Linked DNA regions of Mus musculus. The protein of the gene in region 1 purifies or fractionates together with the protein of each later gene. This does not show direct contact. Links are inferred from orthologs where the notes say so. Each region holds a gene or a part of one and is shown in the gene's direction. Other genes may lie near its edges.

Evidence for each region.
Region 2: the proteins of Ubr5 (region 1) and Cep78 purify together in Homo sapiens (affinity purification with western blotting; 3 studies listed by BioGRID, with this or other methods). This does not show direct contact. The link is inferred for Mus musculus from reciprocal best matches to the Homo sapiens genes UBR5 and CEP78.

Annotation. Positions count from the first base shown.
Region 1 is NC_000081.6:37,966,793-37,970,969, reverse strand, and holds the end of Ubr5 (E3 ubiquitin-protein ligase UBR5), read left to right. Parts: intron 1-622; coding exon 623-708; intron 709-2,464; coding exon 2,465-2,677; 3' UTR 2,678-3,642; downstream 3,643-4,177. UniProt on the Homo sapiens protein: E3 ubiquitin-protein ligase involved in different protein quality control pathways in the cytoplasm and nucleus. Mainly acts as a ubiquitin chain elongator that extends pre-ubiquitinated substrates.
Region 2 is NC_000085.6:15,971,359-15,975,008, reverse strand, and holds part of Cep78 (centrosomal protein of 78 kDa), read left to right. Parts: intron 1-56; coding exon 57-121; intron 122-541; coding exon 542-653; intron 654-3,650. UniProt on the Homo sapiens protein: Centriole wall protein that localizes to mature centrioles and regulates centriole and cilia biogenesis. Involved in centrosome duplication: required for efficient PLK4 centrosomal localization and PLK4-induced overduplication of centrioles.

The DNA of each region.
Region 1 (4,177 bases):
AATGGGCTTTGTTTCATTTTAAAACAAAGTCTATTGAAGGGAAAACAAACATCATATGTAAAGATAGCAGATGAGCAGCATCTACATAATTTGAAAACTTTAGAAATGTACACTCTTGGTTTTTTTTGAGACAGGGTTTCTCTGTGTAGCGTTGGTTGTCCTGGAACTCACTCTGTAGACCAGGCTTGCCTCGAACTCAGACATCCGCCTGCCTCTGCCTCCCAAGTGCTGGGATTAAAGGTGTGCGCTGCCCTTGCCACCACCACCCCCCAGTAGAAATGTAGACTCTTTGGTGTCCTTTTCTTCCATCTTCTAAAAGGTTTCATGTGGCTTATAGCTCAGTGGTTTGAGGAGCACTGTGGCTTAAAGTCACAGCAGAAGAAGAGGGTTTACAGATGAGGCTGACATCAACCTTGGTGGTGACAGGTCACTCTCTCTTACTCATCCAGAGTCAGGATGACCCAATTAATTGTACAGGTTTGTAGTTACACAAAAAGCTTTAGTTTCTTGTTAGGAATTAGATGTCTTAAATTTTAAAGTTCAATGTATCTCTGTTTATATAAGCTTACTAGTATTCAAAAGAAACAACATCTAAAACAACACATTGAATTTATATTCTCAGGAGAAAATGCTGAGAAGCTCCTCCAGTTCAAACGGTGGTTCTGGTCAATAGTAGAGAAAATGAGCATGACAGAACGGCAGGACCTGGTGAGTGAGAAGTCTCACAAAACTTGTAGAGTGAAATGCAAGGGGTCTGCTATGCTTTGTTGTTTGGTTTTGTTTGTTTTTTGGGTGTGTGTTTGTTTTCGGGGATGGGATGGTGGGTCTCTCTTGGAGAACAGTTTACGGATAAAGGTTCTGTGAAGTCTGCCACTTTGGTTGATCATTCATCCCACTCCTTCCCTCCTCTCTTCCATTTCTCCTGTATGTATTTTATCTGCATGTCTGTCTGTGTACCATATGTGTGTGGTGTCTTCAGAGGCCAGAAGAGGGTGTCAGATCACCTGGGCCTAGAGTTCGAGTTCTGAGTCATTGTTTGGGTCCTGGGAATGAAACCCAGAGCTTTTGGAGAAGCATCCATTCCCTGCTGACCCAGTCTCTAGCTCCATCTCAGTCTGGAATCTGTTTCCAGTAAGCCTTTTCTTCCCTGTTAACTGAGTGGATGAGTCCGGCTATGTTCCTGGTTCTTTTGGGGAGGGTTTGTTCCTTCTTTTTCCTCTGTACTGTTCTAAGATGATGTTTCTTACACAATTATGTCTTAGAAAATAACCCCAATTACTTAAGTTTCTGAGTTACTCCGTAAAGTTATTAGATTTATTTCAGTGCTTAGTTGTACAAAGTAAATACCATAGATTAAACTCTGTCCTAGAAGATTGGTATGTGAATGTATAGAAGGATAGATCTTTCAGAGTATTTTATATTTATAAAGTACGTATTTCCGTAAAGAAGCATTTTTTTTAATATTTTGTAATAAATAGAGTAACATTAGACACTTACTGGGTATCATTGGCACTATGTGTTGTCCAAAATAAATTTTTGCTAGCATTCCATATGTCATTGTATGAAATTTCGTCCATTGTAGATATTTCCCAATATTCAGTTATTGTTATAAAATTACTGTGTATCATAATTAGCATCTTATTACTTTGCTAGTAGATAAAATATAAAATGGCTTTTTAACTAGCCTGGGGTTGTTGGTTAAAAAAGAATTTCTCTTTTTTCCCAGTAAGTTACTCAGAGATCTTAGCTATAGTAAAGGCTCTTAGTGATAGCTTGACACAATAGCTTCCTGTCTCAGATGAGAAAACTCGGGCCTCAAGACAGTTACAACAAAAAACCCATAATGTGACACCCTTTTTTCTCCCTTAATCCTGACATTTTTTCTTAAATGTAGTTTATTGCATTATAATTGATATTGGTCTTTTAGTATAAGAAAATAATTTTGAAACTAAGGGAGATTTTGTTAGTTGTTTTGAGATTATAATTACATCATTTCTTCTCTTTCTCTCTCCAAAGCCTCCCTTGCTCTTTTTCAAATTCAGGGTCTGTTTCTCTGTGTCTCTGTCTCCGTCTTGCTCTGTGTGCCTCTGTGTGCTCATGTTTCTAAACACATAAGTAAAGCTTGCTCAGTTTGTATAATGTTATTTGGATGGATGTATGTTTTAAAGGCTGACCATTTGGTATTCGATAACCAACAGAGTGCTTTCTAGGAAAGTCTATTTCTCCTGCTCCCCAAATTCCTTAATTGTTGATAGTAATGTGTTTATGGTTGAAGCCTCCTGGGCTTTCTCCCCATCCATATTAACATGCCTGTTGTTGTCCTTAGCTTATATTTAGGCAGTTGTGTTAGTGAGGCTTTAGTTTTTAAATTGGGTTTTACACAGTGGGGTTGTTTATGTTGCTGGAATTCAAGGTGACTATTAACCTATTAAAACCAACATTGTAATTATATATCCTTGTTTAGGTTTACTTCTGGACATCTAGCCCATCATTGCCAGCCAGTGAAGAAGGTTTTCAGCCTATGCCCTCGATCACAATAAGACCACCAGATGACCAACATCTTCCTACTGCAAATACTTGTATTTCTCGACTTTATGTCCCACTCTATTCCTCTAAACAGATTCTCAAACAAAAATTACTACTCGCCATTAAGACCAAGAATTTTGGTTTTGTGTAGAGTATAAAAAGTGTGTATTGCTGTGTAATATTACTAGCTAATTTTGTAGATTTTTTTTCCCATTTGTCTATAAAAGTTTATGGAAGTTAATGCTGTCATAACCCCCACCCCACCCCACCCCCGGTGGTACCTTAAAGAGATTAAATGCAAACATTCCTTGCTGAGTTTGTAGCTTAAAGGCCTGAGAAGCACTGGCACCTTTTCTCTATGATGGTTTGCTAGTCGCCAACTTCTAGGTCTAACCCCAGCCAAAGATGACAGCAGAACAACATAATTTACACTGTGATTTATCTTTTTTGCTGAGGGGGAAAAATGTAAAATGTTCTGAAAATTCACTGCTGCCTTTGTGGAAAGTGTTTCAGCAAAGGTTCTTGTATAGAGGGAATAGGGAATTTCAAAATAAAAAATTAAGTATGTTCTGTGTTTTCATTTTAGCTTTTTTATGGTGTTATTTGTGGTTGGCTGCAATTGTGTATCATGTATATGGAACTTGTAAAAAGTTCTTGACATTCGGATTTTAGAGACAAAACCACTTTTACCTATAAAAACCTCACTTTTAGTGTGGGTTATTTCAGCTACATTGAGCTCTAGGATACTAAATACACTAATAGTTTGCATGTAATGTGTTCATTTGAGAGAGGCACTTTTCTGTACATAAAATGGGCCGACGCACAGTACCTTGCCACAGTCACCTTTTTTCTTTGTACCCCTCTTTCAGTGCAGGTGGATAGGTCACACTGCACTTGAGTGCTAACCAGATGTCTGTACTAAGGTTATGTGTACTCAGCCTGGGCACTTTCTGATAACTGTAAAATGTTTTATAAGATCATGAATACTGAAAATTTTAAATTTTGGAGAATTTTAAATGTTCTTGAGCAGCTTAACTACTTTTGTATCTAGCCTTTTTTTTTAAGTATCTTGTTACATTTTACTTTTTTAAATAAATTACAGAAGAAATGTCAAGTAACATTGAAGAAACAGTTTTTATTTATATAGTTGTACATTTTTTAAGCTAGGGGCAATGCACTGACATGGTTATATTCATACTTTTTTTTTAAGTTTATATACATGTGAACTATAAGAAAGTTAAGAAAATCAGTCCACATTTTACAGTTAGCAGAGAATCCTAAATGGCACTCAGCCAGGCCTTTTCGTTTTACAAGTAGAAGTGTGATTAGTCAGCACAGAAGTTTTGAGTCAACTCCATGACAGGCATCCATCCATCTATCTATCTATCTATCTATCTATCTATCTATCTATCTATCTATCTATCTATCTATCTATCTATCTATCTATTTTTAAAGATGCTCTGTGGTCTGGGACCAATACCCTTACATTTGTGGACTGAGAGTTTTATTCAGTCAGATAACAAGGAATTAAAAGTCCCTACTAGGATTTAAATTAGTTACTTAAATATTCAAAAACAATTAACGATACCTGTCTTTTCAGTGCCTGTTTAGGACTCCTGGCCTTTGATAGTTTTCATGTTTAAAGGGACTG
Region 2 (3,650 bases), on another chromosome or scaffold:
CAGGCAGCCAGTCCCTGGGGTGTACCTTGAACAGTCTCACTTTTCTTCTACTTCAGATCATTCTATGATGAAAGCAGTTATCAAAAAGGTCCTCCAGAACGGAAGGAGTGCAGACTCAGAGGTATGGCTCCTGTCAGCCTTGTGGGCAGAATTTCCCTTTAGTTACCGTTTCTTCTGCTTTTAGTGAAATTGGTGATATTTTTCTGCTATCTGAACTAAAATCAGGTGACTTTTTTTTTTTTTTTTTTTTTTTTGGTTTTTCAAGACAGGGTTTCTCTGTGTAGCCCTGGCTGTCCTGGAACTCGATTTGTAGACCAGGCTGACCTCAAACTCAGAAATCTGCCTCCCGAGTGCTGGGATTAAAGGCGTGCGCCACCACTGCCCGATGTCTTTTCTGTTTTTTAAAATATTGTCTATTATTCGATTTGGGATTTGAGAACTGAAAATCGCAAAGCTTTATTAAGTGTAAAATATCCTCCTTGTGTCCAGCTACAGTTGAGTCCTGTTCATGTGTAGCTGGTCACCTGTCTGTCTCTTCCAGTACCAGTGGGTTACATCCCCATCATCAAAGGAACCGTCTAAAACCGCTAAGCAGAGAAAGAAAACAATTGTCTTAGGAAGCAGCCGGAAGGGAAAAGCAACCATTAGAATTGGTAACCGACTCTGTCTGTCTGTCTGTCTGCTTTTTATGTCTCCAACACCTGCACCTACCATGTGTTAGTGTGTTACTATAAGGTCTCACCTCTTGGGTAATAACCAATGCTGATTACGGTATATTCTGGGGCCTAGACTGTAATTATTCTAATTCAGGTTATGGAAACTCATGGCAGTTAGAAATAGTAAGTGAATCATTTGGAAGGATTATCAGCATTACTGTTTTTTAAATTAACAGCTGTTGGTTTTTTACATATAAAATAGTCGTCATATCGACTGTTTCCTGAGTGATGATTCTTCATAGTTTACAGTTGGGATTTGTGATGCTCTCTGATGCATCACTTTTTTACTTAGCAAAAAGTGCTGGAGCTTGAACCCAGGGCCCCATGCGTGGGAGGCAAGTGCTCCCCCACTGAACGGAAGAACAGTGCTGAGGACGAGCTTTTGATGTCTGGCTGGAGCACTTTGGGAAAGTGTCCCTTGCTTTTTCTGAGATCTGTTCTTGCTGTGTTTCAGAATGGCCTGGCACTTGTGATTGCTTTATCTCCAGCTCCTGGGTAGTTGTGGGGCAGGTAAACAGCACCAAGCCCAGCTAGACAAACAGTATTTCGTCTTAGTTAAGGTTTCTGTTGCATGACAAAACACCATGGCCAAAGGCAGCTTGAGAAGGAGGGGGTTTATTTCAGTTTGCGCTTCCACATCAGTCTGTCATCCAGGGAAGTAAGGGCAGGAGTTCAACACAGGAGCATGGAAGCAGGAGCTGGTGCAGGGGCGTGGGGGAGGGCTGCTTACTGGCTCGCTCATCCTTGCAGTGGTAATTATTATGCTGGAGGTTAGCTATGCCCCTTTGTTGCCCTTAAATATCTATTGGGGGGGTTTCTACTCCATTTCAGGGACCTTTAGATTTATGCTAAGCTTTACAACACTAGAGCTGGGTAGATAACAACCATGCAAGCTATTTTGTCTGTTTCCAGTCAGAATCCCAAAGATATTACTGGCTGTGTTTCCTTTGGGCTGCTCCTGCTTATCAGGCCAGGCCTCCTGGGCATGTGCTCATGATCCATGCTGCCCCATGGCGACCTCTTCTTCTCTCACTCTCCTCCTGGTCTCTACAGGAGACCCCAAGCCCAGGGAACCTTTTCTCTGCCCCTTCTTCTGCCCAGCCAGGGCTGTAGGGATCTTTATTAACCAATCAGGAATAACTTGGTTAGCAAGGTTTACATAGCATTATTTGTTGTCCATGAAGATCTGTTCATCAGGGGCAACAAGATCTTGGGGGCCAGTATTTGGCATTTGAATAGCAGCACCAGACCAACCCCCACACATCCTGTTTGCCCAGATGCCCCAGCACCGCTTGTCCAGGGGTGGCACCACCCACAGTCCATCAATCATCATTTAAGAAAATGGCCCACAGGCCATTCTGGTGAGGACCTTTTCTCAGTTGAAGTTGCCTCTTCCCAAATGACTCTGGCTGTGTTAACTTGACGTAAAACTAGCCAACATAATTCTCCAGTGTGTGTTACAGTATATAAATACACTTCTAAGTATTAGTTAACCTAAACTTTAGGCTATTACTTTTGTGACTGGGTACAAATGGAAAGGTTCTTTTTATAACAGCAACATTCAAGGGCTAGCAGCTAGGCAGAACAACCTGAGGTGCGCCCTCAGAACCCATGCTACAAGGCTAGAACCAACTCCTATGAGTTATTTTGGACCTGCACGCATGCACGCAAGCACACTGTATAAACACTGATACAGTAAAAGAAACCATAATGAAAACTAATGTTTGTAATGTAAACGAGATTCTTCTAAATGTATGCATTTTTTGTAATTTGGCTCTGATATTGTGTTTCTAAAAATTTTTTAACTTTTTTTTGGAGATACACTCTTCCTCTGGCTGGCTTTGAGTTTGCTACGACTTTCCTGCCTCTGCCTGCTTAAGTGCTGGGATTGTAGGCACAGACCTTGTAGTAACTTACTTTCTAAAACCTTCTGTCTTAATCTTGGTGCAGGATAGTTTTGAATTTACTGTGTGGCCACAGGTCTCCTTACACTTCAGATCCTCCCGTGTTTACCTCCTGCATGCTGAGGTGACAGACAAGTCCACAATGCCCAGGATTACAGGGGGATGAGTAAGGATGCAGCTTAGGCTCTCATAAGGCAAGCACTCTTAACAGCTGAGCTACAGTCCAGCCTTAGAACACATTACTTTTAGCACTCATAACTTTTTGTGATAAGAAAGAATGACAGAGTGGAACAAATCCAGGTCTGACCGCCACCTGTGTGCCACAGCACACATTAGTGTAATTACTAATTTTTAAATTAGTGTAATTTAAAAAAAAATTAACTTTAGGCGACTGGAGAGATGGCTCAGTGATTAAGAGCACTGAGTGCACTTCCAGAGTCCCTGAGTTCAATTCCCAGCGCCTACATGGCAGCTCAAAACTCTCTGTAACTCTTAAGATCTGACACCCTCACACAGACACTCATGCGGGTAAGACACCAATTCAAATAAAATAAAAAGAAATATTAAAAATTAACTCTTAAAAGAAATATGATGTATATTACTGCATATGCGCCATCTTAGATGGCAGTCCAACACTGCTGAAGAAGTTCTAACATGTAAAAGAGGCCAGAAAGACAAACACAACAGCCATTTTATTTTGTTCTGTTTTTATTACATTTTGGGTTTTTTTTAAAAACAGAATCTCACTAATAAGACTGACATAAAACTCTTGGGCTAAGATGAAATAGAGCTGCTGTAGTAAGCCTTTGCTATTTGTTTTCAATGATAGCAGAGACAAAAGCTTAAATGTGAACTTGAGGGTTTGTTCAAATTAAGTGTTAATATGTGGATTTAGCTGCTACATGTATTTCATGTTTAAGCCCCTCATTTCATCCAGTATGTGTGTGTGTGTGTGTGTACCTATATATATCTATCTCTATATCTATCTATCAATTTTGTATCTGTTCTCTCTGTGTGTATATGTGTGCAT